Linked DNA regions of Nothobranchius furzeri. The protein of the gene in region 2 purifies or fractionates together with the protein of the main gene of each other region. This does not show direct contact. Links are inferred from orthologs where the notes say so. Each region holds a gene or a part of one and is shown on either strand. Other genes may lie near its edges. The genes, in order: slc30a6, slc30a5 and csgalnact2.

Region 1 (10,121 bases), on a different chromosome or scaffold from region 2:
TGTTCAGCTAGTTGATCAGCATCTTTCTGAAGGCTGACACACACCACCCTTAATATCTCCTTTTTCTTTTTCAGCTGTTCTAGCTCATCTTCCAATGCTTTTCTCTTAAGTCCACGCATGGCACCCTCTCTCTTTAACATACTCTCTTTAAGTTTTGGCCATACTTCAATAGCTCTCTCTCCAACAGGAAGATTTTCCACCCATTTGTGTCCACAGAATGGGAGTGGAAAAAGAGATGAGCCTGTAAGTTTTGTAAAATCTTCTCTTCTTGCAGGGACATTGTGAAAAAGAAAGTGCATTGCTCTTAACAGTTTCTCAATATTCCATGTAGAGAAGCCAGTCTTGAATGAATTGTGCAGAGTGTGCAGTCCACAGCTTCCAACATTAATTAATTGGCGGCCTCCATGTAGTTCAGCATGCTCTTGCTGGAAATCATTTAAAAACTTCAAGTTCACATTTGGCCCATCCATACTGATGGATAGGAGGTTCTTCATGTCTAGCAGACACACACAATCCTATGAATACAATAAAATAAATTTTATTATTTGATATGAAAAAGAAAACCTGAAAACACCAACACCAACACCAACATGTTAGATTTGAAATGTGCTTATAGTAATTTCAAAATAAGCTTATTAAAACTATCTAAAAGCAAAAAAACTCAACAAAATGAACACATCTTGTCTCTTTAATTCATCTGAATACCACTTCATAAACAAAAAGTACAAACATACTCACTTTGAAATGGTGCAGCAAATCTTTAGCCTTTGAATGGCCCATAAACTGTGATCCAAGATAACGTGACTGGACAGCACCAGCCTCCCAAAATCGAATATGGACCTCTAGTTGTTTATTTTTTGTGGACTGGTTGAAGCTTTCATCAAACATCAGCACAAATGGTCCAGCGTTGTTAGCTGCAGAAATCAGTTCTTTTTTGACATGTGGGGCGAGTCCAAACTTTAAAACGTAGCTCGTCTTGTCCTTTCCACAGGTGAAAGATTTAGCTATTTCAGTATCCGAAAACATTGCCTGGAACAACTCCGAAACACCTTCATTGGATGCGTAGGAGTGGTGCTGCACGGCAGTGTACAGACACCAGAGCACCTCTGCCTGAAGTACCGCAGGTGATCCAAACAATTTTTGAAGCGTGCTTGATGTTCCGACGGCAGGGTTCGCAGCTGCAGTTGTGCTGCTTGTTGTGGTCGTGGTAGTTGCAGAAGATGTCGCGTTGCTAGTTACAGAAAAGTAACTAGTCACGGTTAGCTGCTGTCTGCCTTTTACGGCTGCTTTGTGGTTGTCCGACTGCATGTGCGATTTCACAGCGTTCACACCCATTGTACCAAGTTTAATACAACCAGCTCAGTGGCCTAATGGTAGAGTGTTCGTCCTGAGACTGGGAGATCAGGGTTCGATTCCTGGTCGGGTCATACCAAAGACTTTGAAAAAATGGGACCCAATGCCTCCCTGCTTGACACTCAGCATTAAGGGGTTGGATTGGGGGGTTAATCCACCAAATGGTTCCCGAGCGCGGCTTGTCTGCAGCTCACCGCTCCCCCAGGGGATGGGTCAAATGCGGAGAACAAATTTCGCACACACACCTGTGTGTGTGACAACTAATGGAACTTTAACTTTAAATTTTTTTTTTTTTTTACAAACAGTACAAAATCCTTCTCCATCTTGACCATTAACGGGCTGCAGCCATACCTTGAATTTATCGTTTTCCAACCACTTTTGCTGGAATTTGCATTTCCCCATTTTCCAAACGTTTACTCCTCACGATCCAGCTTCTTGTCCAACATCCGGTTTTACGACAATTCAACAAGAAACCGGTCGGAACAGAAGTAATAATCGAAATGGTTCCGCCAGCGTATTGACTCAAACATACGTTTCATACAATTTCACAACAAATCACAATAAAGACAAAAAAATTAAAATTATTTAAGAATATTTCTTGAAAAAATTTAATGCCACTGACAATCTAATTTAATGCTTTTTAATGCCATTTAAGGCCTTAATTTTAGAAAATTTCATTTAATGACTTTTAATGCTTTTTAATGCCCCGCATAAACCCTGTAATATTAACATGTTTCTTATCTGTGTGATTCCTAAATAAGTCATGATTTTGGGCTGATCAAAGAAAGAAATTAAATATTTTTTAACATTTTATGTGAACACATTTTAAAGCTAAACAATTTCCAGCTGCTCCATCCTGCTGTTTGAAAGTGGAATTACAACCGTCAACCCTAAACCTGCAGCAACCTGCTGTAGCTAGCGCCAACAACAAGCTAACGCTAACATGAGCCTGGTTGTACTGAACAAGCCAGTAAAAATATCCACACTGTTGGTCGAAAATATTCTTACTTACAAGTCCAGTAGCAACAAAGCCAGGTCGCCATCAGTCTGTGATTGTATAGTCGCCTTGAGCTCCCGTCAATGTTCACTCAGGTTTTAGTAAGTAAGTAAGTAAGTTTATTTATAGAGCGCCTTTCACAGATAAAAATCACAAAGCGCTGTACAACATGATAAAGATCAGAGCAAATACCTCTAATCAATAAAAACATCAGAAAAACAATAGCAGTGATAAAGTAGAAAATAAAATCATGAGTATAAACAAAGTGAAGGTGTGAACAAGAACAAAACCATCTTTTAGAAACATTAATGGAGGGAACGCCTGGATGAAAAGGTGAGTTTTTAGATGATTTTTAAAGACCTCTACAGTGTTAGAGAGACGGAGATTTGAAGGTAGACTGTTCCAAAGTCTGGGTGCAATAGTCTGAAAGGCCCTGTCCCCTTTGGTTTTCAGTCTGGTTCGAGGAACAGCCAAGAGGTTTTCAGATGTGGATCTAAGGTTCCGAGAGGTGGTGTGTGGGGATAAAAGCTCAGATAGGTAGCTTGGAGCCTGGTTGTTAAGAGCCCTATAGGTCAGGACTAAAACTTTAAACTGTATTCTATATTCTACCGGGAGCCAGTGGAGGGACTGTAAAACTGGAGTGATGTGAGCTTGTCTGCTGGATTTGGTTAGGAGTCTGGCTGCTGCATTTTGGGTGGCTTGATGGCGTGAGAGGGAGGTTCTAGGTAGGACGATCTAGGAAGGTAGAAGATGGTGACGAGGAATTAATGAACTGACGTGGGGGCGGTGAACAGCTGAGCGGATCTTCGGGAAGTCCCGCTGTCATGCCAAGAAGAGTCGAGCTGCAGATTCACGGGTCTCCAGGCCTGAAGCCATAAGCAGTCCTCACATCTTCCTCATTCCTCACTGGCCATGATGAGCTTGGTGTAAACATCCGCTCCTTTAGCTACCGATCAGCTGATGACAGCTTCAACACACCGCGCTGCTGAATTATAGTAACACGCATTTTCCTATCGGTAACAAAAACGGAGTTATGACAAAAGAAGACAGTACTTAATTAGATTACTTGTGACTGAAAAAACTAACTTCTGTTAGTAACGCTGTTATTCCCATCAAAGCGTGAAAGTAAATTGATTTTGATGCTGTGACAATGAAACACAAGTCATTGCCTTTGTGCTGAAGATGTGATAACGATGTTGCTGGTTCTGTTAGAATACCCGTTTCATTTCCACCCAACACTTAAGCAGTGAATATTTCAGATTTAAAACACTCAAACTTTTGAAAAAAAAAAATTAAGACTTAGTGGAACCTAGATCAGATAAAATAGGGAAAATCAATGTTTAAAAATGACTAAAACATCTCAAAGTTTGCCTGAAATGAGTTTGGCGTGAACGGAGCCTCAGAGTCTGACTGATCTGGGCGAAGGAGGTCAGGTCGTGAGAGGAAACCTCTAGTCTTTTGTTGAGTGTTACAGTGGGAGCATGTCTCCGTGCTAAACAGACTGATTAAAGAGACCAACCGATGATCTGACAAGCAGACACCCTGCAGGTTTACAGGTTTTACTCACAGTGTAGCGTGGACACACTCACAGATGACTGTGACAAAGTGCTCATTGTTCAGTCAGTCTGCCTGCATGCTGCGAGGTCAGAGGTCGCGATCTGCTCTGCCTGAGGTTAATCCATACAGACACCACATAAAACAACCTGCAGTCTGCTCCTATTGGACTCACTGTGAATGTAGTGATTATTCCAGCAGACAGGAGTCACATGGGCAGAGGAAGGTGACTTCACCTGCATCATAATGTTGTTGTTGTTCCTCCTTTAGAATTAACACATCCACAGTAGAGCTGAACGAGTCTAGGAAGTTATTTACTTCATGATTTTCTTCAAATCAGGTACATTGTTCATGATGTACAGCAATATTTACAAACATGACAGGAAATGACATCATACCATGGAAACATTAAAGCCATTAATCCAATAATAAGAAGGATGAAAAGTAAAAGCTCTCTAATGTTCTAAAGAACAAGAAACAAGCATGCAGAGTTTTACCAAGGAGGGACCTCTGGGGTGTTTTCATCACAAAAACACAGCTAGAACTACAAACATGGACACGCTATACAAACTTATTTTGGTTTGATACCTCTGAAAGTTTTTTATTGTTTTTGAAAGGAAAGAAGTCGTGCTGAGTCAGTAAAATGTTATTACATTATAATCCCCTACTGCTGTTGCAGGAAACCAGCAAATCAGCCTCTTTGTCCCTCCCCCTCACACATGAGCCCCCTAACCAGCATCACAGCCCAGCCGCTGCCGCAGCCATGACACTTTCAGGTCAGCCGGTATATAAACGTTTTAGCAGCACATTGATTGTGACACTCACTGTGTGTAATAGAAATTAAATAAGTCAATAAATCTCAATATTTATTGATCTTCAAATATAAAACAAAGTCAACAATAAATAAACAGTGTGTTGGGGTCCTTCAGGTCCTTTCTTCAGCCTAGTAGTTTAGTTTAGTTTTATTTGTCATATGCAAGTTAGCACAGGGTCAACATTGCAATGAAATGTGTTTGACGAGCAGCGGTCTCTCAGCAGCATAATACAACAGAAAAAAGAAGAAGGTATAATACAGTAAAAGCAAAATATAACAGAGTCATGTTAAAAGTAAAAGCTTACTAAATAGATAAGTAAGTATAGATGACTAAATATAAATATATCTAAAAAAAAGTGAGTAGTAACATTAAAATGAAGTAACCAGTGCAGATTAAATTTTACTTGTGGAGCTGCAGGGTAACATCTGTATCCTGTGTTGTGTGTGTTTAAGTGTGTGTTTAAGTGTAATGGTTGAGGTGTCGTATGGCTTGGTGGTAGAAACTGTTTTTAAGTTTCGTAGTCCAAGCAGGCAGACTCCTGTAGTAGTGGTGGCAGTTGGCCATATAGGTGCCAGATATTTTATTTTTTCCCATCGGCTTTTAAAAATAATTATGGCCGATGGTCGATATAGAAAAAAAAAAAAAAATATATATATATATATATATATATATATATATATATATATATATATATATATATATATATATATATATATATATATATATCGGTTAGTCTCTACTCTAAAACCACATTTTAGGGTGCTCCACATTGTGTGGACCAGCAAAATGTCCCCACAATGTGGAAATGTCCACACAGCAAAAGCTAAAGACAAAATGGGTCCACTCAAACACATAAAGAAAAGTGCGCGCGCGCGCGCACACACACACACACACACACACACACACACACACACACACACAAATGCATGTGAGACTCAAGTAAAGCTGAAAAGCAGATTTCCACTCGATCGCCATCCAAATCTCAGAGTCAGAGGTCACCTCTCAGATTGAAATGAGAGCTCAACCCTGTTACCGACAATGAACACACTCAGAAAGTGTGTGCCAGGATGTATTTTTGGGATAATCATTTACAAAGCATGACATTTACAGTTCTGATGACTGACGTAATGCTGGTAGTTAGTGGGTAACCCTACCTCTCTACAGGCAACATAGCGGTAGCAGGTAAGGAAAAAACTTACTTAGGAAATGAGAGTGAACTCACCCAAACGAGTACACCTGACTGGGTTTCTTCATGGTGACCCAGGAGCTGATGAGACAGGTGATCAGACTGCAGGTGAAGGACGAAGATAGAAGAAAGACGGACAAAGGGAAGGGTGATGGCAGGGAAAGAGGAGGAGGAGTGATTGATGGAGGGATGGAAGGAGACAGGCAAGAGACGAGCAAATAAGAAGAGTCAGTGAACGACAAGTGGCAGAGGAAAGAGTGGAAACAGCACAGAGGTCAACTAAAGTTCAGAGTTCATGATACTGGAAAACACTGGGCTATCTGAAAACAAAACTGAACAAGGGTGGAACTAAACTCACCTGAAGAGGTCGAAGATGGTGAGATATGTGTAGGCAGTTAAAGCTGAAACGAAACAGACACAAACCAAAGTCAACAGAAAAGTAACACATGCTAGAAGCTTGTGTTGTTTTCTGGAGGAACATCTTTATTTACAAGCAATGTAAAAATGTTTAGCAAAAAAAAGGTGTGATTATTTTAAAGGTCAATGATGTTTTTCTCATTAAGCAGAGTCTTATCTGAATCATGTCAGAAGCCAGTCTACACATTTCAATTTTGTGTGTTTAAAACTGATTCTAGCCATTCAGCCTACAGTTTCTACAATAGAATAGACTTTATTGATCCCACAGTGGGGGGATGATGTTCAGTGGGGGAGCTTAAACTGCCTTTAAAGTTTATTCCTTGGCAGGGGTGAAGTGATGCACCTCTCAAAAAATAAAATAAAATATATACACCAGAGATCCATCTGACCCCAAGGTTGGTTTATGCTTGACGCGTCCGCGAGGTCCGCATGGCTCCGCGCAGCGAAATTGCATCATTTTAACAACCACGCCCCTCCACCGCGCCTCCGCACGGCCCAAACTTTCCGCAACGCGCACCTAGGAAATTTTCTAACCACGCGGACGGTCAGACGAGGAAAAACATGGCGGACCGGCAAGAACTAGTATGGCAGAGGTTCGTAAATACAGACATTTGTATGATTCAGCTCTCAGAGATCACCGTGATCAACATGTTGTTAATAATTCTTGGAGAGAAATAGCTCGCACTGTCTGAAAAGACGAGGACGCTGTTAAAAATGCTGGAATGCCATGTTGTAAACAACAGTAATTTCTACTTCTACTATGGTGTAGTGTTGGATGCATGCTGTAGAGCTCCATGCTGCCCCGTTCAGTTTGGGAGAATATTGGCTCACCGCAGAGACAAGCCGCACGAACCATAAACGCTGCGAGTTGTGAGGCGCGTTCCATCCGCGAGCCGCATCACCAAGCGGAAAGTGAATGTGTCAAGCATAAACCAAGCTTAACAATGTGGGAGGGTTAAGCCTAGGGCACACTGGGGCCAGACGCACCACACTGTCATTTTAAATAGAAGCAATTATAGTCCCGCGTCCCAGAAGCGCCGCGGTGCTGAAGATAGGCGCCAGTTCTAGTGCCGCGGCTGCTTACAACATTGTGGAGTACTTTACAACAGACGTTATAACGCAGAGCAGCTTTAAGACACAAACTCAGCCGCAGTTTTGATAACTTTAGAGTACTATTCATCTTAAAATATTCTAATAAATAGCATGCTTACTCATTTTTTATGAATTAGAGTCTCAAAACAGGACGGCAAGTCTGACCACGTATAAACAATTGAGTAACTTCCCGCTTCCTGTTCTCAAGTCTCACAAGATGTTGTGACTATCGCACAACTTTCCAAGAAGCGCTCTGCGGCGTGGCCTGAGTGACCACTTGACTTCTGAAAACCACGGCGTGTCTGTCTCCGGGGTGACCCAGGCTTTAAAAGAATGATTTGAAGAACAATAAGCAGGTTAATGAGATTGTAACCAATGTTTGCTGAGATCAAGCTACTTGTATCACAAATACTGTTCATCACAGCTGAAACAAATATTTATGTAATTCTATTTAATTGATTATAAATAAAATGTTCCAATTCATTTTTTTTAAATAAGTGCGTTTTCACTTTTGACAAAAGAGAAACCAGAGAAAACACCAAAACAATTTCTAATTGTGGGAATATTATAAACTCAAGCCGATGGACGAGACAGCTAGGTTAGCACAAAGCTAGCGTATCACAACGCTAGCATTATACTAGGCTAGCATAGTGCTAAGCTAGCGTTTCACAACAGCATGACTTCCACAACCCATAATCTCAGCAAAAGGCATCCAGGAGCTTCATGCGTGGGCTTCAGATCCAAGACAAGGTGTGTTTTCTGGAAACATTTCACTGTCATCGCTAAAATCCAACAACCTCATACAAGTTTTAGTTTTCAGTCATCTTTGTTTGGAAAGATGCAGTTTTATCATATCTGAAAGGAACAACAACAGTGATCAAACCTTTGTTTGTTGTTATTGAAATAATGACCAATGTCAGCTGATAAGTTATCCTGCCTGACCACATCATGAGCTAGACATCAATGTAGAAAATATTGGTTGGTCCAGAAAATTACCCTGTGCTCTCATGATGGTGTTATTCTGGTTAGCTAATAGCAACACAAATAGTACACAAATGCTGGCGGGAGTGAAGCAGACGCAACTGAAATAGGATTTGCCAGATGGCCAAAGGAATGGACAACAACATTGGTACATGGCTGATTAGATATGTACTGACTGTTTGATGGTGTTACATGTGTTACTTTGTGGTGACCATGTGATCAAAAGACCGCTTCAGTGGTCTCGTCACTTACGTAAGGTAAGTGTCAAGCCCAAAAAAAAAAAAGTCGGTTTACTATTCATTTGGTTGGGAACGGGCCATGTGGCCTAAAATCAATGTTGTGATATATTTTGAAGTGCATGCGGTAATGATGTTGCTTGAAATAAAGATAATAATGACACAAGTTAGAAAAGCTCAGATGTTAAAACTGACAAGTTGGTGCCATAAAAGTGTCTGTGTGCAGCAACCCCCACAAACAGCTCCCCCCCCCCCCCCCCCCCCCCCCCCCCAGACACAAATAATTCTATTCTAGTGACTGTTGTCATACTTTCTTCACAAAGCTACAGATGAATGGGTGAGGCTTTTTTTGAATCAGTAACAGCTGTCACCGACTTTACTAGAATGCATCCTAGAGATGTTTCTGGCAGGAAATTGAATTTGTCATCAAGTTATTCAGTCAGGAAGCTTTTGCTGAGTCAGCACTTGGAGAACAGCCAGCAGAGCAGGTAAGCTGAAGGTTCAGTAAGTAAACCAATCAGCCAGCCAGCCAACAAGACAACAAATTAATCAGTTCGTTAACTGGCCCAATACTGAGAAAGACCTGGCTTAAATACAGCAAACCCGCCTGTCCATCTGTCTGTCTCCCTCCACTAGCGTCCGTCTTTTTGTTTGTCTGTCGGTCCTAAAGCCTGCCAACCAGCTTTCTGTAATCAGGCTGTGCTGCGGGGGAAGAGGGGGCAGGATTAGAGCGGCTTTGTGCTGAGAGGAACATTTTGTTTCCCCACTTCCAGAGTCCATGTTGGCCAACCTGACGCCCTGTGATGCTCCTGACAGAGAGGCCCGCAGCAAAGACCCACAAACCAAACAGGAGTAGTGGGTCGACATGAGGAGGAGGACAGATGGATGGATAGAACATCGAGGTAGATAGATGTACGCAGAGAAAGGTGAGGAGGCAGGAGGCAGGATGATGGACATGTGGATGGACAGAAGGACAGAGGAAAAGTGAAAGAGGGACAAGGAGGGTGAGAATAGCGTTGGCAGACTGAAACGGAAAATATCCAGGAAAAAGAATCCCCTCACAGACATCAGTAAGAGAAACCTGTTGGATGGTTAGTTTTCCACCATTCCTCACCAGCATGTAGCAACAAGAAGAGAAAGGTGTGCACCATAGGCTCACTCACGGATGATAGAAGACCGTAGAGGTCACAAACTTGACTCTTCCGTGTAGCTCCAACAGGACTTTATTTGGTCTCCAAGTCCTCCCAAAGTTGTCCCGCGTTTGTCCACATTCAGAATGTCAGACGCTAAACTGAGACGTGTCCCCGACACCTGCGACCACTCTGATTGTTGTCAGACAACATTGGTCTCAACTGTTTAGAAGTGATTTAACAAAAGAGCACACCACACACCAAAACATATGCCTGATGTTTGCAGACCTTTTAAAAAATCCCAAAAGAACGTGGTTTGTATTGTGCATTAAAACCTCAGTGACAAACTGGTTTTTGCTG
Region 2 (10,640 bases):
TCCTCCTTCGGGTGAAAACGATCAGCGTGGTTTCTCGTGTTGGTTTTATTTTACACAACTTGAACACCGTATGGCTTTGGTCCGGGTCCCGTTTCCCCTCAAATATCATGAAAACCAAAGTCATTCCACACGCTTGCTTTTAATGTTGGCGGTGCTGGCCGTGTTCCTCAGTCGGCCATGTTGTCCTGTGCAAACTGTAACCGTTCCGTCCAAGCACCAGACTTCCTTTTAGCCGAGTTCCACTTTTAGCGCCTCGTCATAAATAAAATTGATTTTTTACTTTTTTAAATCGATTGATAATCGTTCCTGTTCGCATCTCGATGCAACTAAAAATCGAGTTTATCTCCCATCCCTATTTTACATCAAAGATGGCACCTAGGGTTTGGAATGGAGGCGTAACGTCTCCTTTTATCCGTCGGACCGGTTTACTCACCTCTGTGGTCGCTGACAACACCACGACCCACGGCAGCAGAACCGCAGCAGAAACCAGGTTGTCCAGGGCGTAGAGCCGCTTGCAGCCTCCGATCTCCACGGACAGTTTACGGGACGCCGTGTGGAAGGCTACCTTCAGACACACCGACGCCACCAAAAGCACAACGCCGCCCTGACAACAGATACACGGATCAGAAGGAAGTCCTCGCTACCAAAACCCAAAGCTGCTTTCCGTACTTTGTGATCTGCGACTCCTAAAAATGAGATGGTGGTGTAGAGGAAGTGTGTGAGCGTGCTGTCGTGATGTCCCTCAGCTGATAGCAAGATCAGTCAAGGCTCGAACGGTGCAGAACAGAACCACAGGGATTAAAACACGGCGTGGAACCAAGGATACGGTGATGGTGGTCTCCCATCTTCACCATCAGGTCATCGTTATCAAACAGCAGGAGGCAGATCACGGCGATGATGAAGAAGGCCGCCCCCCTGGTCTGGCAGAAGAACACGGGGAACATTATTTCAAACCTGTTAGAGGAGCAGGAGAGGCTTTCCAAGAGGAGTTCTGCCGTTTATCTGTCAGCTATATTAGCAGCGGAGGGTGTTCACTGCTTCCAGGGTGGTGTACTCTCTTATCCACAAATCAGAGCTCTTGTATCTGAGGAAGGTGTGGTTTCTGAGGTTTGTTGGTAAAACCTCAACATGTCAAATTCCGTCTGGTCAGTAAATCATAACGTAGGATTTAATAAAACTAGAACCACTTCCCGAGCTGATTCGGTTTGAGCAGAGCTTCGGACCGGCCAACCGGAGCAACACTCGTTGAACCACCGCATCTTTTGACAAGCCGTCAAAGCTGACACAGCAAACGGTTCCTTCAGAACCAAGCCGACACCGCGCCGACTCCTTAAAGGTCCTTCCTTAGACGCAACAGCTAGCTGTGGTGACCTGGAGGCAACTCGAGACCGGTCTAGTGGCGCTGCCGTTTCTCCTACGGACTTCGGTACTTTTGGGGTCCACGGACTTCCTGACATTCCGGATCTACAACGGCGTCTCCGACAGGGTACGTAGGCGCGACAGATTGCGTCTGATGCTGTTTTATAAACCATCACTTCCAGTTCACAGCAGACCAAACTCAATCCCACTCAGAACTCAGTTTCTTCCAGATACGACATCACATTACACTACAACACACACTCCAACTCACATAACCGTTTCCTAGTTGTCAGGTTTTATAATTTGTTTAGAAAATAAATTTCTTACTTTTTATGAACTTGACTGTCTGAATTAATAGGAAGTGTGTCACGGTCCCTGAATAAAAAAACAATCGGACCGGAAAAGGGTGGCTTGCCACCTCCGGGTCGGGGGAGAGGTCCTACCTCAAGTGGAGGAGTTTAAGTATCTCGGGGTCTTGTTCACGAGTGAGGGTAGGAGGGATCGGGAGATCGACAGGCGGATTGGTTCGGCGTCTGCAGTGATGCGGACGCTGAGCCGATCTGTTGTGGTGAAGAGGGAGCTGAGCTGGAAAGCCAGGCTCTCGATTTACCGGTCGATCTACGTCCCAATCCTCACCTATGGTCATGAGCTTTGGGTAATGACCGAAAGAACGAGATCACGGATACAAGCGGCCGAAATGAGTTTCCTCCGTAGGGTGGCCGGGCTCAGCCTTAGAGATAGGGTGAGGAGCTCGGACATTCGGGAGGGACTCGGAGTAGAACCGCTGCTCCTCCGGATCGAAAGGAGCCAGTTGAGGTGGTTTGGACATCTGGTCAGGATGCCTCCTGGACGCCTCCCTGGGGAGGTGTTTCGGGCAGGTCCTGCCGGCAGGAGGCCCCCGGGTCGACCCAGGACACGTTGGAGAGGTTACATCTCCAATCTGGTCCGGGAACGCCTTGGGGTCCTGCCGGAGGAGCTGGTGGAGGTGGCCGGGGAGAGGACGGTCTGGAGCTCCCTAGTTGGGATGCTGCCCCCACGACCCGGACCCGGAAAAGCGGAGGAAGACGGTGACGACAACGATATGGAATCATCAAATCTTATTCATCATAATTAAAATACATACGTAGAATAACACTACAGCAATAGTCCCAGTCCTCCCTGCTGGATCTCTGGTTTAGGCACCAGTGGAGTCTCTCTCCTAAACTCTGAGTGGAGACAGGGTCCAGAGAACTCCTGACCGCAGTACGAGGCTCCGTGGTTGTTATGCAGGCGTGTTACGTTCGGGTTTAAGGCAGAAAAGGGGGTCAGCAACAGGTCAAAGGTAACATTTAAGAACGTTTTTTATGATTTTCTGTCAGGATCCATTAAGTCTGGTGGATTTTATCATTTCAAAACTTCCAAACGTAGCTTGATGGAACCGATTTTCCAGGAACATCTACCCGACCTTTTAAACTTCTCTGAACCTTAAACGTTTCTGGAATGTTTGGGCTTATTTTAATTTATCTTAAGCAGATTGATGAGTAAAAGAGTATCAGGACTGGCCAAAGTTTGGGAGGTTTTTACCTTAGATGGTCCTCCTCCCGAGTTTGTGAAAAGAACGCCAAGGAGGGCGACGATGACCACGTCGCTGTGCTCGAAGAGCAGCAGCGTCCTAAAAAACAGGATTTTAAAAACAAAACACTGGAAGTTTCCTTCTGTAGCGCTGACGTAAATAAAATAAACCCAATTAAACTCAAGAGTTTAGAGGGATCCAAATGTTTACGTGACTGTAATAAAAACGATCAGGTTCTACCTTAAAGGTCCACAGAGAGTCAGACCGAAGAATCCCAGCAGGGAGATGATGCAGCTGAAAACGGCATGTTTCACTAATTTAATCCACTGGAAAGAAAAACAGATGAAAACAGTTTATTACGTCACAACAAGCTCTTAAACATAAACAAATGTTTGTTTTAACCTTGTGAAGAGCCGATGAAACGCGTTTAACTCCCGGAGAAGCTTCGCTTTTACAAGAGGCCGAGTTTTTCACATGTTTAACGTTTATGTTGAAGGAAGAGGGTGTACTTGATCTGGGGTTTCTTGACCCTTTGAAGGACTAAATAAATAAATTAAGGGTTTATGTGGAAGTTTTCCAGAAAGACTCCGATTTTAGAAGGTTTTCTTTTTTTTGACGACAAACTAAAGCTGATTTAAGCAGCAAATGGAGAAAAAAAACACCTTTTTCTCCTGATTACTGAATTAAAAACTGGAACCCAACCAGGACTGTTTTGTTCCACCGGATGAAACGAGAACTGAGAAGGGAACCAGACTGACCTGGCTCCTTGAGATGACTTTTCCAGATGAAAAGGGCTTTTGGAAAAACAGCAGAACAACAGCGCTCCTAAAAATCAAAACAAGAGTCAGCATGTCGTCCGCCTGCGTCCGACCCTGAAACAGAGAGCTGAAGTACTCACCCCAACTTCAATATGAAGATGAACTGAACTATATGAACAACTTTTAGGATATCATAAGATTCAAAGATCCCTAAAGCTTTGAGGACCTTAGAGATGATCAGCAGAACGATGTACCTGCTCAACCTGCGGACGGAAGACAACAGAAAACATCATTAGTGACACACAGAATTATGTAAAGTTAAATGAGGACAGAAACTGATTTGTGGCCCACAGAAAATGTATTTTACACCCCTGCCAGGTGATTTGACAGCATCTTATAACATTAGCTAATGCTATTACATAATGATGTAAGTAGGAAGACCTAAGTCCACCCTTCATGCTTCGATAACAGCTGCTGATCAGATGTATTCTTTATAAAATTAGGGGTTGTTGTGAGTCTGGAGCATACAGGTGTGTGTTAACGAAGGAAAAACATCCCAGAGCAGGTTCCCTCTGTGGTAGATAATAAAAGAGCTCCTGCTGGTATGACAAAGGGACAACTAGAAGAAAACTGAACAAATGTGGCGTGTACAGAAGGGGCTTATTGCAGCCACCTGGAGCTGAGATCTCATTTCTTTAGTTATGGTCCAGATCACGTGACCTTAGAGGGGGTAGAAGCAAAGCAGATGACATGATCTTCCTCTGAAGGAGGAGCAGACACGTCCTTTGAGACGGGGTGAAGCGCTCCATCCTTGTCGTAGAGCCTCTCCTCCTCATAGAAAGAACTCAGCTGAGATTGTAGAGAAATCTGACATTCAAGCCTTCAGGATACAATGAGCTGGAGGTATTCCACACATGTCCCACTGGGAAGAGACCCGAGGACCACCAGGAGGGGTATCATGTGTTCTGGGAACGCCTTGGGTTACCCAAGGAGGAGCGGGAGAGGATGCCTGGGTTTCCCTCCTTAAACCGATACTTCTGTGCTTTAAACAGCTATAAAGACATGTTTTACCTTGAATCAGGCACTTCGACCATTCCCAGTCTTCCACCCGACAGGACGTTGCTGCTGTATTTATCCTCCATCTCAAAGCTCGCAAAACCGACCAGTGACAGCAAAGTTATCCTCTTCAAATCCTTCACAATTCAGTCAACAATAAAAGTAACGACACAAATCCTCCTCCGTTTACCGCTGAAGTAAACAAGGCCTTAGTTTTCTGTTTGTTCTTCATTCTGCCGGCTAGCTCAAGCTGCTTTTGGCATCACGTGCTCCGTCTTCGTTCTGACTCAGATTCCCATTTAAGAGCGTTTTAGAAACACAAAATAATACTTTTTTCGTCTAAAACAAACAAAAGAATTAATCGGAAAGCTCTAAAATGAGAAGGAAAAATATCCTGATTGTCCCTAAAGCCATGAAACTTCCGTATACGTCAAGCTTTGCACCTCACGCGAGAAAATCCGAGAACGTGTCTGCTGCGCATGGCGGCTGCGCAGATCTGTTAGGTGACTGAAGGGGGAGTCGGTTAGATGTAATTTCTGTAACTCGACCGTATGAAAATGGTCTAACTCACATCTTTGCTTTAATATATTATCATGTGGACTTCTAAACGTGTTACATAACTAAATAACACGTGCAACAGCTACAAGAACATTTCATCTGAAGGAACTGCATACTGTTTATTTTGATCAATCAAGTGTTATAAACTCGTCATGTCCTGTGTGCAGGTCGCAGGGTTTATAGTGTTTTCTGCCACTATTGCCTTATGTGTTGTTAACGTTTGATAAGAAAGGGGCTTGTGGGCATGAAAGTTTAGTTCGTCACTGATACGATCTACAAAAAATAAAAACACCCTTGAGATTCACGTTTTATCATGTTTTCCCCAAAGCTGATCCAACGGCATCAGAAAATGAAACACCCATACAGGCGGATCAGAGCATTTTTCTGGTTTTAAAGCAAAATCATTTAGTGAATTTAAAGGGAAATAATGTTTTCAGATTAAACTGAACCTTGCTTTAAATTTTCATTGTTATTTCTACTGATGATCTAACGTAGCCTGGCAAGCCAGACTAAATAAATGTATTATTTAGTCTGGCCACGCTCCATTGACGGCTCTCGGTTGTGGGGCGGGTTCTACCGTTGTCTTTCAAATGATCTCCGCATTCCACTGGACAATGAATGTGACATACTCTTGTTTCACTCTGTTGCATCATCCCACCCACCAGGCATATAGAGTGCCCTGATTGGCCCACAAAGCGGATGAAGCTCTGTGATTTGTTCACTAGGCAGATAGAGCACTATGATTGGCCCACCATTATGGACCAATCACAGCTCTTTATGTGTTTGAAACCCCTCTAGAGAGCTGTGATTGGCTAGCCAGAGTCCTGGTAGGAGCTGCTGAGGTTTCAATGGAGCATGCCTAGACCATTCTTTGCAAAGCAAGAATTTGGTCTAGTTCACTAGGCTAGATCTAACGCCTTTGTGTGGAGGAACGGGTCCTCCCGACTGTGGTTTGTGCTTATGCACCAAACTGCAGCTCAGACTACCCACCCTTTTTGGAGTCCTTGGAGGTCCTGGAGAGCGCTCCTTCCGGTGACTCCCTCTTTCTGCTGGGGGACTTTAACGCTCACGTGGGCAACGACAGTGAGACCTGGAGAGGTGTGGTTGGGAGGATTGGCCCCCCAATCTGATTATGAGCAGTGTTTTGTTACTGGACTTCTGTGCACATCATGGATTGTCCATGACACCATCTTCCAGCTTAACGGTGTCCATGTGTGCTCTTGGCACCAGGATACCTTAAGCCACAGTTTGATGATTTACTTTGTTGTCGTTTCATCTCATCTGTGGCTGCATGTGTTGGACACTCGGGTGGAGAGGGGTGGAGCTGTCAACTGACCACTACCTGGTGGTGAGTCGGCTTTGATGATGGGGGTGGGGGGGGGCGGACCTAAACTTGTGAGGGTCTGCTGGGAACGTCTGGTGGAGTCTCTTGTGAGAAGGAGCTTTAAGGGAAGCCTGGGACATCGAGTCACTGGCCCATGTTCAGTGCTTCCATTTTCCAGGTGCTTGGCACCGGCGGTTAGGGATGCTGTCAAGCTGAAGAAAGAGTCAGGTCTTATTGGCCTGTGGGACTCCAGAGGTAGCTGATGGGTACCGGCAGTCCAAATGGAATGTGGCTCGGGTGGAGACCCAAGGGAATACCCAGGACACTCTGGAGGGACTGTTTCTGTCAGCTGGCCAGGGAATACCTTGGGATTCCCTGGAGGAGCTGGCCCAATTTGAGGTAACTGCTTCCGCGACCTGACTCCAGATAAGCAAATGAAAATTGATTGATGGATTTAACCTTTAATGTGCTTTTAACTCTATCTGTCGTGTGTTTTTAGCATGGTTTTATTCTGTTATGCCGTGTTCAGCATTCTGGGCGTCCTTGTCAAACAGAGCTACATTCATAAAGCTGATCATGATGGAAAGAAGGAAGGCTGGGATACGTTTGCTTTATTAGAAGACAGAAAAATGGTGTCAGGGTGAGCCGTCTCCAGTTTCACTGAGCTCCACACAACCCAAGCAGGACTTTCTGGTACTCTCCCTTAGTGTCAGCCTAGAAAACAAAAAAAGGAAAAAACTTATATTTGTATTAATTCATACTAAAAGCCAGAATGGAAACACTATAACAGTTATATTTCTACCACTATGTCGTCCTGTAGGCTTCTCCCAAACATGGCTTGGTATTCCTCCACTATCTTCTTCAGGTCGACCTCAGAGCGGCTCACCAGAATCCTGATCAGTGTTCTGTCTCGGGTACCAACACCCTGTTGGAACAAAGCAGGGTTTCAGTTGTAGAAGTCATGAAATGCTACGATTACCTAGTCATTCTCACAATATTAAACAGACCTCTCTATATATCTATATTTATTGTAAGAGCCATAATATTTGTTGGGCGAGTTGATTACTGGGTTTCCGTTCTCTTTTTCTATGCATATATTTTACAAGTGAGAATGGAAAAGGTGCAAAAGTCCAAAAAAGCTAGCTTTTAAACAACTCTCGCTCCTCCCGTCGGCAAACATCCCCAGGCCATGCCCGCCTTTTAGGAACTCTGGTAGTTTGTCCTTAAGTTGAAGTGGTAGCAGCCAGCTGGTTACAGCAGAACTAGATGGGCTCCGAAGAAGTGAGAGGGCGCGTACCCTGACAGAAAGGGGGAGAGCATACCAAGATGAGAGACTGAAGCACATTCAACGCAGATACAAAATCATCTAAGTGGAGGTGTCATGCACGAATAGGCAAAGAGTTATTAAGTGGTGATTCTTCTAAGGATGAGTTAACTGAGCTTATTGAGAAAATCAAAGGCACCTGTTCTGATGTAAAAGTAGTTTATGAGGAGCTGCGTCAAGTTCAAACCCCTGAACCAGACCTGCGGCGCAGGGTTGATACATGCATGTCATTCTCAGAATGTATCATTCAAAGAGCAGAAAGACAGCTTAAAGGTCATGAAGCAGATAAAGATGAAGAGTCTTGGCCTGACGTTGGATCCGTTCTAGGTTCAACAGGTTCTGTTTCTAGACCACTGTCTCATCAATCAGGATGTAGTTCTACCCACTCTTGCAGCCACTCTGTCAAAAGAATAGAGGCTGTAGCTGAAGCTGCTGCAACTCAGGAAGTCTTGGCAGTGTTGGAGGAGCAAGAAAGAAGCAAAGACCTGCCTCATTTGGCATTTCTAAAGATTCCAAGAAGCTACCTTCCATCAAACTTTGGTGAAGTCTCACTATATGAGCTTCACAACTTTTCAGATGCAAGCTTCAAAGGGTATGGTGCATGCTCATACCTTAGATTGGTGAGTGAAACAGGACAAATAAGTTGTTCCCTTGTCTTGGGGAAAGCAAGAGTAGCCCCTACCAAACTAACGACCATCCCAAGACTTGAGTTGTCTTCAGCTGTGACCTCAGTTCGCATTGGTGATATCAGAGGCGAGCTGGAGATTGAGAATTTGCAAGAGTATTACTGGACTGACTCAACGGTGGTCCTTGGCTATGTGAACAATGCTGCTAAAAGGTTCCAAACATTTGTGGCCAACCGCATCCAGCGAATAAGATCTAGAACAACACCTGAACAATAGCGATATGTCAACTCCGAAGTCAACCCAGCTGATGGAGCCTCATGAGGATTGACTGCAGTTCAAATTAAAGAATCCAACTGGCTGAAAGGACCCACTTCCTTTGGCAGCAAAATTTCCCACATGAAGTGGGAATGGTGGGAGAAGTTGAGGCTACTGATCCTGAACTTCGGAAAGTACATGTTCATGCAGTTAAAGCAAGAGAACAGAATCCAGTGGTAAACCGTTTAAATTTTCTGACTGGTCCAGAGTGGTGAGAGCAATTGCCAGGCTCAAGAGATTTGTCAGAGAATTCAAGGGATTTCAGTCGATAACTAATGAGTCAACTAATCTTGAACAAAGAGAAGCAGAGGTCTTCATTTTCAAACTCGTACAAGGAGACGCGTTTGCTGAAGACAAAGAAAATGAGAGGGACAAAGAAAATGAGAGGCAAGAAGGAACACACTTTGAGCAGGCACAACAGGCCCGCCCGCAGCCTCCCACTCCCAAGCCGGCTGAGCCTGGAACCCAGCGACCCGGGACCCAACAGTGCCCAGGGACTCTGATCCCACCAGGCAGCCAGGGTGTGTGTGTGTGTGTGTGTGTGTGTGTGTGTGTGTGTGTGTGTGTGTGTGTTGAACAGAGGACTTAAGTGTGAGACTCGCCTGACTTGGACAGATGTTCCAATCACTTGTTTTGGACTGAGCCGGGTTATTGGCTATGTGTTTTTTTTTTTTTTTTTCTTTACACAAATGTGGGAGAGAACCACTTCATTCATTTCTTTGGGTTATTTTTTTAATCTTCAAAATATATTTTCAGTTATGTTTGAACGTTGTTAAAAGGCATGAAAAAATGTTTTAAGCTTGCTTATTTTGCAAATTTGCCTTTGCACCAAACCACCTTTTTCCTTTTTGCAACTTCAAAATGCATCTCAGGCCAAAAACGCAGAAACTGGTGTTTTCTTACGTGACCAGATTGATTCTGTTTCCTAGCAAAGTTAAAATCTTAATTTAAATCTTCTCAAAAGGTTAGTAAAGCAGTGAATGATTTCACAAAACTGAGACCCACAAGAAAACCCAAACCATCCAAAAGAACAGAAGTTCACTCGTTCACATCCGTTTAAAAATCCATGGTTCACCTTTTGAACTTTCAGTACACACCTTCATAGCATGGCAGAGCTTCTCAGCAAAGAACGCAGGAGTGTTCCAGGCACATTTCACTAAAATCAGAGAGAGACGTAAACATGTGTCAGACTGGAACCAACACACCAAGTCCAGATGTTGCTGCTGCTCCACAGCTGTAAAGTTTCAGATTCAGGTTAAGTCCATTTCTGATCTCAAACCCATCAGCCTGCTGCGTCTCACACCTTCACTCACCAACCAGCAGGAGTTAATTTATCTGGAGCTGATCTGCAGACTTATTTCTTTGTGGAGAACATATTGCAACTAAAACCAAGTTATATTACTTTGGGTAACTTTGAAGAGTCAAAACATTCCAGGGAAGGATTTCAGAAGCGCATTTAGATTTCTGGAGCACAACAGAGCCTTCATTTCCGTCAATAGGATGCATTTTCAATAAAACATTGAATCTGACTATTGGTTTCTGACCCAAAACATACAGTTCCTCACATAATTTACTAATCTATAAACAGAAAGATTTTGTTTGGCTTTGATCAGCTGCTGGGAAAATTTTATACTTGGTGGAGCTGACGTGTCAATGGAATTCCCTTTAGCCCAGAATACAACAATAAATAAATAACAGCATGTCTGATGAAGATCCAATGTCTTGATGCACACACGTCTGTTCAGGGCAAAAAAATAATAAATATATA
Region 3 (10,654 bases), on a different chromosome or scaffold from region 2:
TAAACTGATCTTTTCCTAAGGTTGTTGCATTTTTCCCACACAAAGTTCAACAAAACAATGTTGATTAAGGTGTGAGTGTGAGAGAGAGATAAAATATTTTTTTAAAAACCCGACCGGAGCGGAGGCAGTGACCGACTCAGCACGAGCCGTTTTCAGCTCTGTCTTGTCAAATGCACCACGTACGTTACGAAAAAAGTAACTTTAAATATTAAATCGAAAAAGAGGCGAGCTGAAGAAAACCTAGGGAGTTCTGAAGAAACGTGAGCAACTGTGTGTGTGGGCCGAACTGAGCTCCCTCTTTCGCTCGTTGGCTTCTTCGATACGGTCTTCCCAAGGGACTGCTGCAGAGTTTTGTGTGTAGAGAAGGGCGGGCGCTCTATGTGACTGGCCAATCACAGAGCGTGAAAGCAGTCAGTTACCCAATGAGGATTTTTCTTCAGAACAATTACAGATATTTACGAGTTTTACTCGTTTCATGCTAGTATTCGTCAAAAATGCTTTATGCGTACCGGATAGGCTCATCCCTAGCTGTAACCACCCTGCCCTGCCTCCTCCTCCTTGCTGCCTGCCGGCTGTGATCACAAGCAACAACAGAGTGGTTCCCGCTGCTTCTTCGGGAAACAGCGCAAATTTTTTTTCTTTTTTTTTTTTAAATCCATAAAACGGGATCTTGTAGGCATGACGCCAGGATTTCAGCCGTGGCGGGCCGCCACGGCTACGCCTATGTCAGAGAAACACTGCATTTCTTTTTGATCTGAAACGTTTGTATTTCTCAGCTTAAAGATGAGGGTTAGGGTGGACGCGTAAGACTTGTTTTTTTTATTGAAAATGAACGAAGGAACAATGCAATGAACAGCTACAGGCTAAACTTTCAGATTTACCACAGGGACCCATTTGGTGTGCCACCCCAAAATGTTTACTGGCCCCCCCATTAAATTTTTCGGGCGCACCACTGCATGTTCAACCAACCATACTTAGAACCTTGTGTCTGATATTCATGAGTATCTTCATTAATTGCTAACAGTTGTGAAACATACCAACGCAATTATAAACAGGAGTGTTGCTATTTACGGTTTTCAGTGTAGAAACAGCAGGTGAAGCTGGAAGTTGGGCTCACATTCATGTGAAGCGGCCCTGGTTGGGTCACAAGAACGTTTCATTTCTTACCAACTGGAGTTCAATAGGCGGAGCCAGCTCCAAACTTCCATAAACGATGGCAGGATTATACAGGCTGAACACCACCGGGTAAAATACTTTCTTGTCTGCAAAACAAAGTCAAGCAAAATGATGTGAAAACAACGACGTTACCAAAACGAGAGAAAAACAATCGGATCCATGCCTACTTGGTGCAGTGTGCAGACGACAGGTGTTAAGGAAGTCCAACGTAAAGCGAATATCTACGTCACAGAAAAACATCAGCACGTCGCCTTTGTTCCACGTGTGGGCTCCGATATCCAAGCCTCGACCTCGGGAGAACTCCTCGTCCACCGGGATGAGGGTGTAATTGGAGAAACTCTCCTCCCTGTGGAACAACACACCTCGTGTCTATGGATTATAAACGTCTAAATGTGAGAGGAGCACCAAGAACCGACCTCGACATTTTGTCCAAAGATGATCGGACCTCCTGCAGACCTTCGTGGCCAAAATAAACCACCGTGAGATGAACCTGTCTGTCCTGTTGCACGCACACCTCTCTGAAAAGCAGGTCATTTCAAAATGGCACACTAATAAAAACCAGACTGATGTAAAACCTGAAAGGCAGCAGAACAACGTGATGGGTCATGTCTCCCCAACAGAAATTAGTGATTCAGCCTCACCTGAAGTTGTGCAAGAACTGTGAGAAAGTTTCAACTCTGCCCGCCAGAGGCACAATGATGTTGATGGTCATTCCTGAAGTTTCCACGGATGTGCTCCTGACTTTCATGACGGGACCGAACGGCCGGAAGAGCGTGACGTGGCGGAAACTGCTGGAATCCTCCTTGGAGAAAAACAGCTCGTAAAGCGTCCCTTTATCTCGCTCCGTCCTGTACAATCCTGAGGAACAGAAAAACGACGGAGTGAAGCACAGGCGACGCAGGAGATGCTGCAGGTCTTACCTTCTGTGAAGTGACCGTCTGTGTAGGTCTTCCTCTGCATGGCCATGTCCTCCTCCACACCATCCTCCTCATCAGGGTTGTTGATGATGTCCAGCGCAGCCTCAATGACCTCCACCAGCTCATCCCTGCGGTCTTTGCGGACCGGCTTCTCCTCCGGGTGCCGCGTCAGTCCCATCTCCAGCTGGTAGACCTTAGACGAGGTGAAACTCTCAAAGGGCACCAGAGCGTACTCGCTTGGCAGGCGTGCTCCCGTGTTGACCTCAGCCTTGTCGATCTGAGAGTGCAGGTACTCCAGCAGGTCTCCTGGCTCTTGGTCTTTGTTCTCCCCCAGACCCTGCACCCCCGGAGGCTCCTTCTTCTCCTGCATCAGCTTCAGCTTCTCACTCATCTCCTGGAGCTCCTGCTTGAGCTGGGCAATCTGCCGCTTGAGGCTGGAAGCACGGCTAAGGTGGCGCTCCTCATGTTCCTGCAGCAGAGCCTGGTAGTACTCCTTCCCGTAGGTCTCCCCCGCTAAGCCAGGCAGGACCAGGCTGACGTCTGCAGGTGGAGTGCACTCCAGCAGGTACATGAAGAGCAGCAACACCAGCAGCAGGAGGAGGCCCAGGAAGAGCCAGCGAACCCGGCCTTGGAACAGTAACCCCCGCCTGGGCATCACGTCCACATAAAACCTAAACCCAGCAAGGATGTCTGCATTCCCCGTTTCCTCTGCTTACATCACTCACTAAATGTTCCCACATAGCTTTTCAGCAACATCAAAATGCATAAATCTGGTTTCTTGTGTTCAAACGTTGGTTCTACCTGTGGAAAATACAGAAAATATTAATATATATGAGACAAAAAAATAAACCTGCAAGAGCTTTCAGACAAAAAAAAAAAAAAAAAACAGGAAGAGAGCAATATTTTATATCATGATGCAAACCTTTAGTTTGAAGTCAGCCTGCCTGCCAATTTCATTATGATTTCCTCAAAAACCTTTCAAAGAATCTCCAGCTTCCAGAAAAAAAATCTCGATTTGAAGGTTTAGTCCAGAAAAGCAGAGAACAGGAGGGGTTAGCTGCACCTGGAGAGCTAGCAGCACCCCCAAACAACGGCTCAGGAGAAAACCCCGGTGGTTCCACCAGCGAGTTTACACAAACTACACTTCCGGTTCACCTGGCTCCTCTTCAAAATAAAACACCCGCAAAGTGGTGAAAGAAAGAAAAAGATCTTTTAAATAGCGCCTGTCAAGATAAAATCACGAGGCGCTTCACGAAAACAAAATGTAAAAACTACTCGATTAAAATATGTTCAAAATGAGAAGAAATAGAACTTGTGATTAAATAAATGTAAGGAAAGGGAAATCAGTGGATCCCGGGAATGGTGGAATAAGAACAGGATAAGGAGCGGGTGGTGATGATGGTCACAACAAAGCCTGAACAGGTGAGTCGTCAGCTGCTTTTTAAGGGAGACCACTGAGTCCACTGATCTCAGGCTCAGGGGGAGAGATCCAGAGTCTGGGGGCCACAGCAGCAGATGATCCGTCACCTTTGGCCTTTAGCCTGGTGCTGCACAACCAGAGGGTGGGTGAGACAAGAGGTTCACCATAGATATTGGGTGTTACAACATATTTATTTATTGGTCATTTTCTTGTTTTTAACAAATTGTTTTTGTTGAACTAAAAAACTAAGTTGTGATTCAATATAGATTAGGTATAATTTTCTGTCATCACTTATGTTGTGAATTGGTGTTATATCAATTATTTGGCTTGAAATAAACAGTATATTTGTGTGCAAAGCCTTTTCAAATTTTCATATTTTTCTACCAGTAACCAAACACGAACATAACCATTTAAAACACTTAATAGTCTATTTGTTAATTTTAAAAGTAAAAAAAAAATGTTTTTCAATTTGTTTTAAAATAGAAATGATTCCCCCATACTCTGTAAAAAAAAAGTATCTAATAGTGATTCAAAAACAACTGGTTTATAAAACCTTGGACGAGAGGTGAAGCAGCTAAACGTGTCAGATGTGATGAGAGGTAAAGAGTTTCAGCAAGAATGAGATAAAAGGTGTGTGTAAACGACAGCCTGAGACCAGCCATGCGATAAGCTCTGGAGACACTGTCCATGAGGAAGGGGCAGGAGGCAGATGTGGAGGTTGCAAAGTTCAAGATGTTCAGGACCTCTTTGAGAGTAACAAGGACAAATAGGATCAGGAATGAGTCCATCAGATGGACAGCGCATGTTAGATGTTTAGGAGATAAAGTCAAGAGAGGCCAGACTGAGATGGTTAGGACATTTCCAAAAAGAGACGATGATTCAGGTCGAATGCCGAGGTTGGAGCCACCAGTCAGGAGGATGAGAGGAAGAACAAAAACGAGATTCATGGATGTGGTGAGAAAGGACAAAACAATTATTTGGAGGGTGGAGGACAAAACCCAACTCTGATGGAGCAGGTAGAAGTTTTCACCCTTGTAAAAAAAATTAAATCAAGGAAAATAGATGTATATTAAACTTTACAAACATTTGACAGACCCCAAAAGAAAGTCTTACAAAAACGGTTTGAATTCCTAATTAATCTCAGAAAATATTTTACACATTTAAACTGCTCACAAAAAGACACGATAAAACGTCTACATTTATTTTGAAAAAAGCTACACCGGATGTGGCCCCGACGCTTCTGCAGCTACTTTAGCAGCGTTTCAGGGCTTCGCGGCGATGCGTTCTGTTGTTTTGTGCCGACAAACGGCTCATTTCGCAGCAGTAGTGATGATTAAAGCGTTACCCACCTTGTTATGTCGGTGTCCATTTGTTCTCGCGGCCACAGCTCCGGCTGCGGTTTAGCGGAAGCACAGCGACGCCGGACAACTCCTGATAAACGCCACGGAGCACAGAGAAAAGAGTAGGTGTTTGCCTACTTCCGGTCAGCGAGGAACCAATCAGATTTCTAATCTGTCCTGTGACGCAAACAAACACGCCGCCTCTCCTGATTCATAATAAAAGAAAGAAAGAAAGAAAGAAAGAAAGAAAGAAAATGATCTTTTATATAGCGCCTCTCAAGAAAAAAATCAAGAGGTGCTTCACAAAAACAATTTAAAATATAATTTTTTTCAAATGATTAAAAATGTGTTTTGAACATAGGTTTTAAATGACAAAAGAAAATAAAAATTTGTAAGAAAATGTAAGTAAAGGGAGAGAGAGAAAGAATAGGAAAGAGGGAAATCAGTGGATGGGGGGAAAGGCGGGATAAGAGCAGAACAAGGAGAGGGTGGTGAAGGTCACACCAAAGCCTGAACAGGTGAGTCTTCAGCTGCTTTTAAAGGAGTCCACTGATCTCAGGCTCAGGGGGAGAGAGGTCCAGAGTCTGGGGGCCACAGCAGCAGATGATCTGTCACCTTTGACCTTTAGCCTGGTGCTGCACAACCAGTAGGCTTTGATCACTGGACCTCAGGGACCTGCTGGGGGTGTAGGGACTAAGAAGATCACCAATGTAAGATGGTGCTTGTCCATGTAAGGCCCTATAGACCAGAACCAGGATCTTGAAATGAACCCTGAAGTTGACTGGCAGCCAGTGAAGCTGGAGGAGAAGTGGGGTGATGTGGGTGTGTTTGGAGGACTTGGTCAGAAGCCGAGCACAGGCGTTCTGAACCACCTGTAGACGGTTCAGGGAGGTTCTGCTCAGACACGTGAAAAGAGAGTTACAGTAGTCTAAGCGTGAGGAGATGAAGGTGTGGAGAACTGTCTCAAGTTCAGAGCGGGACAGAATGGGACTCAGCTTAGCAACGTTCCTGAGATGGAAGAAGGAAGAGCCAACAAGAGAACCACAGCCTTCATTAAAATCTTAGCTTTGTTGTAATTTCAGCAAAAGAAAACCGTATTATTGTTTTTACCACAATATCAAACACATTTATTTTGATTGTATTTGTTTTCACATCATAAATGACGTTATGTAAGCTAAAGTGCAGCATAAACAACCTGGATTTAGTTAAACACATCACGAAGTCATTGCAATATTGTTTCTGCTTTGTGTCATTTTTGTGCTAACTAATGAAATAAAGTTGTTATCTTTGATGGTGCACTGCCTTACGAGTTATAATTGATTTAACACTAAAGAGGGGCGATGCATCACGAGTTTAATGTTCAGATATATCATCTGTTATCGTTACAACTCCAAAAATAAACTAGGAAATGTTCCCACGAGGCTCTGTATTGAATCATTCGTTTGCTCCTTCCTTTGTTATCATTGTCAATCACCAGCGCCAGGAAGATGGTGCAGGGCCGTGCACTTGTATCCTGTGTTTTATTCTTCTAATCAGTTTCTTGTCTTCACTCTTTTCTTATCTGCTATGTTTTGATAACAAATTCCTCACAGCTGCAGTAGAGTCAGCAGTAATTGGACTATGTGGAAAAATGAGCGAGCTTTCATATTACAGGTCAAACAAGAGTTAAATTAAGGCTTATATTCATGTTAAGCATGCTTTATTGAACTAATACTTAATACACAGCAAGGGCAAAAAAAAAAGATCACTCTCTAACATTTGTCTGAGCACCATTAGCCTTGATTACGACTCACATTCGCGGTGGCGTTGTTTCGATGAGCTTCTGCAACGTCACCAGATTTATTTCCACCCACTGTTGCATTAATGCTTTACTGAGATCTTGCATTGATGATGGTTGTCTGACCGCTGCAAAAAAAACCTTCTCACATCCCAAAGATTCTCAATGGGGCTCAGGTCTGGACTGTGGTGGCTGATCCATGTGTGAGAATGATGTCTCATGCTCCCTGAACCACTCTCACTATCTGAGCCCGATGAATCCTGCCATTGTCATCTGGGAATGTGCCCGCGCCATCAGGGAAGATGGAATAACCTGGTCATTCAGGATGTTCAGGTAGTCAGCTGACCTCATTCTTGGTGCACATCCTGTTGCTGAACCTAGACCTGACCAACTGCAGCGAGCCCAGATCATAGCACTGCCTCCACAGGCGTGTACAGTAGGCACTAGGCATGATGGGTGCATCACTTCATCTGCATCTCTTCTTACCCTCTGGGCTGGAACAGGGTCCACCTGGACTCAGACCAGTTTTAACGAAGCGTTGGACAGTTCTTGACCCAGTTTTAATCGTTTCTGCACCTCCTTAGATGTTTTCTCTGCTTGATGCATGCTACTGATCTGACCCTTCTCACACAAACAGCTTTTCCACAACCACCAGATGTGACTTTCCACATGGCTGGTTAAGAAATGAGAAGCAACTCATTGCACCAGTGGGGTTAAATACCATGATAATTGCTCATGCAGTAATTATCCTATAGGAGGCTTAGTTAAATCCAGGTGGAGACATTTTTTTGGCCAGACAGTGTACCATTCCATTCTATTTTAGACATCAGATATCATAAATGATTTGCTCCCTCAACAATGCTTCTGTTATTTTTTTTTTCTACGCTTTATTGTTTCAGCTCTGCTAGCCCAAAAACAAACAAAAAATGAAAACAGACTCACATTTTCCCAAAAACCATCTTGTCGATCCAAAGCCTTTTGGGGAAATATTCCTTGGACTGTTGAGACAAAACTTTGTGTAGGAAAACAGCATCAAACCAACAGCTGGGCATGGTGGTGGAAGTGTGATAATCTGGGGCTACTTTAAAGGAAGTAAACACCTTTTCACAGCACTGTAGTCATGATGACCGTTATTTATTTATGTAGAAATGACTAAAAATGTGAGAGCACAGAAGAAAATAGACCCTTCTGTGACACAAACTATATGAAATACTGAACAAATTACCGTGAACAAACTCTTTTTCATTTTTATTAATAACAAAAATCAAATAACATAACAGCAATACCACTCATTGGTGTACATGATCTTTACAGCTTATGGAAACATGAACTGTAGTCCGACAGCGGAGGTATCACACCCTCCCAGTGGAATAACAAGATGATATTATTAAAATCGGGGAAAAAAAAGGAAGAGTTCATCAAATATTTCTTTTCTTTGGCAGCTTTTAAACATGTAGCGGAAGATTGACAAAAAAGCAGGTCTTGGAGGTTTTTGAGGAGAACAATCCTGTAAGGTAGAGACTTCAGGTCCTCAGACCCAGCTCAGTGCTTCTCACTCCCACTACCGATGGTACAGACGTCCCCTTGGATTCCTGGGCTGGGACACGGATTTTCAACGCCACACACACACACACGGTCAGTTGGAGGCTTTGTAGAAGCAGCACAGGCACTTTCAAGACATTGACACTGACATACAATCTGGTACAATAGTCATGCAGTGATACAGTTCAGCCAACATGACCTAAGGGTAATAATTAACATCTAAAAGAAGCTTGGCCCACGTTCATCCAGATGATTCTGCAGCTAAAAGAAGCCTGTTTTAAAAAGCACCCGTGCAACAGAAATAAAAGGGGAACCAACTTCACCATCAGATTATGTACAGGCGTCTAGAAATACATCTACCAGTTAAGTCGCTTTTCTAGTGTTGATTTGCCTTTAGCTATCGAGATTGTCCACAGTTTTTGCAGGTGAGGGCAAAGCCATCCAGTTTGCATAAACACTATCATTGGCATATCTTGTAAAGACTGGATTAGTGGCATCGTGTCTGTGGAGGGGTACCGGACTCTTCTCAGGCCAGTTCGGGTATGACATGCCTAAAAATGAGAACATATCATTTTTCTGCACTCATTGAAAGGTAGACAGCGTGCAGACAGTAAGGCTCTCAAATCAAACTCGGTGGTGGCGAAAACGGGTCCTCCTGGAGGTAGAAAGTTTGTGCAATGAGATTAATTATTGATTGGGTTTGTTTTTATTATGTATGAAGGCTATAAATGTTATTCCTGCTGCCTTCCAGTAACTGTTGAAAAATGCAGATGTTAGTAACTGCTCCAGCACGAGCTGCACGGCGTCTCACTGGGCGGACTGTTGGACATTAAGAACGGTGAGAAAACACACACTCTCAGTGAGAACGATCACTTTTTTTAGCTCGTAAACACAAATCATCAGCCACACAGATGGAAGGAACTCATCAGCTACTGGCTGATGATTAATAACCAACTTCCCTGTTTGTTTTCAACACATCTGCAGGGGCCTCTAGCAAAAATGAATGCTCTGTGGGGAAAGAAGCTCTGGCGCTCCCGTTTCAGGAACTAGAAGGGAGCCTCGTTAGAGGCGAGTAAAAGACGGCAGGATCTGGAGTTTCATTTCCTGACATCTGGACATCTCTCCTCTGATAAGCTAACAGCAACGAGACTCTACCACGGATTCCGTTAGCTCTGCAACGTCGATGCTTTAGCTCCACAATGACCATGTTGATTTGACGGTGTGCTGGTGTCCCAGGCTTTTCTGATCAAAGTGTTCCCCGTTCACTGTCTATCGGTTGCTAATGCAGGAAATAGGGGTGGATGAGTATTTTCACATTTAGGCTACACGTTAAACTCAGAGTGACCGATCATATTTTAAAAAGAACAATTAAAAATGATTTCTCTGTGAACTTGGCCTTTAAGAGACTTTGAATGATTTTTGGTACAAAACAAACTTGTCTGAGTGTTTCAGAAACTGCTGAGCTACTGGGATTTTCACCAACAACCATCATTTACGGAGAATGGTCAGACTGACAGAAATACAACAGAAGCTGAAATAAGTACAGGCTCCAACAAGGGTCCGCAGAACCACAACAGCAGAAGCCCACAGCGGGGTTCGCTCCAGTCAGGAACCTGAAGCTACAATTCCCGCAGGATCACCAGACCTGGACCAGAAGAGACCGGAAAAGCCCCTCCTGGTCTGATGAGTCTGAATGTCATCTGCAACATTCGAACGATCAGGTCGGAATGGACCAAGACCTCAACCACGAAGAAGTTGGCAACTTGGAACTAGCAAGGTGGAAAAACAAATTACGACAGCCGCTTGAACTTTGTGCAAAGTGTCTCGATCGTGTCTCAAACCCTCCCAAAGTTGTCTCTTATCTCTCACACTTTTGGACTCTGAAACAAAAATAAGAACCACGTGACGACGCCGTGACACGAGAACATTCATTTGCGAGCTTATGCAAGGAAATATAGACTTCCTCGCCAGCAGTCGCTGTCCAGCGAGACGGCTAGCTTAAACAATTCCACCGTAAGAGTTGCGTTCAAGAGCCTTACTGTTTCTCAGCACTGTGGATTCAAACTAGATGAATCACCACTACACATCAGAAAGACAGGACATCTGAGACAATGAATGACTGAATCAGTGAGGACCTGTTCAAATGTTACACTCTGTTCCCGCCAAAATAAAACAATGAAAACCAAATCTGGATGTGAGTGGGGAAATGAGCTAAATGTACAAAATGACTGAAGTGTGATGATGAGTAATGTAATATAAATAGGAGTGAAGGGTATAGAGTCAGTATTTACAAATGTAGTATTTTTGGTCGGCATACATTAGAAGCAGGTCCAAATAAAAAAACAAAGCAAAAGTAAAGACACAGGATCTTTTTTCACTGCTCCTCTCATTTACAATGAAATGGGAGATATGTTAGAATTAAACACCAAAAGCATGCCTAGATCACAGTCACACACACTTGACTAAAAGCCAATCACATCCT

Evidence for each region.
Region 1: the proteins of slc30a5 (region 2) and slc30a6 purify together in Homo sapiens (co-immunoprecipitation; 5 studies listed by BioGRID and IntAct, with this or other methods). This does not show direct contact. The link is inferred for Nothobranchius furzeri from reciprocal best matches to the Homo sapiens genes SLC30A5 and SLC30A6.
Region 3: the proteins of slc30a5 (region 2) and csgalnact2 purify together in Homo sapiens (co-immunoprecipitation; 3 studies listed by BioGRID and IntAct, counting the BioPlex papers as one, with this or other methods). This does not show direct contact. The link is inferred for Nothobranchius furzeri from reciprocal best matches to the Homo sapiens genes SLC30A5 and CSGALNACT2.

Annotation. Positions count from the first base shown.
Region 1 is NC_091752.1:45,301,360-45,311,480, reverse strand, and holds part of slc30a6 (zinc transporter 6), read right to left. Parts: intron 6,307-10,121; coding exon 6,264-6,306; intron 6,008-6,263; coding exon 5,942-6,007; intron 1-5,941. UniProt on the Homo sapiens protein: Has probably no intrinsic transporter activity but together with SLC30A5 forms a functional zinc ion:proton antiporter heterodimer, mediating zinc entry into the lumen of organelles along the secretory pathway.
Region 2 is NC_091746.1:73,785,097-73,795,736, reverse strand, and holds the start of slc30a5 (proton-coupled zinc antiporter SLC30A5), read right to left. Parts: upstream 5,032-10,640; 5' UTR 4,812-5,031; coding exon 4,741-4,811; intron 3,933-4,740; coding exon 3,810-3,932; intron 3,737-3,809; coding exon 3,670-3,736; intron 3,238-3,669; coding exon 3,152-3,237; intron 3,011-3,151; coding exon 2,923-3,010; intron 921-2,922; coding exon 827-920; intron 747-826; coding exon 670-746; intron 605-669; coding exon 434-604; intron 1-433. Other genes in the region: annexin A1, read right to left, coding at 7,265-7,321, 7,410-7,532, 9,970-10,028. UniProt on the Homo sapiens protein: Together with SLC30A6 forms a functional proton-coupled zinc ion antiporter mediating zinc entry into the lumen of organelles along the secretory pathway.
Region 3 is NC_091752.1:5,683,061-5,693,714, forward strand, and holds the start of csgalnact2 (chondroitin sulfate N-acetylgalactosaminyltransferase 2), read right to left. Parts: upstream 4,998-10,654; 5' UTR 4,863-4,997; intron 3,178-4,862; exon of another isoform or gene 3,016-3,177; intron 2,895-3,015; 5' UTR 2,749-2,894; coding exon 2,097-2,748; intron 2,035-2,096; coding exon 1,818-2,034; intron 1,695-1,817; coding exon 1,593-1,694; intron 1,523-1,592; coding exon 1,344-1,522; intron 1,263-1,343; coding exon 1,168-1,262; intron 1-1,167. Other genes in the region: proto-oncogene tyrosine-protein kinase receptor Ret, read right to left, coding at 8,566-8,723. UniProt on the Homo sapiens protein: Transfers 1,4-N-acetylgalactosamine (GalNAc) from UDP-GalNAc to the non-reducing end of glucuronic acid (GlcUA). Required for addition of the first GalNAc to the core tetrasaccharide linker and for elongation of chondroitin chains.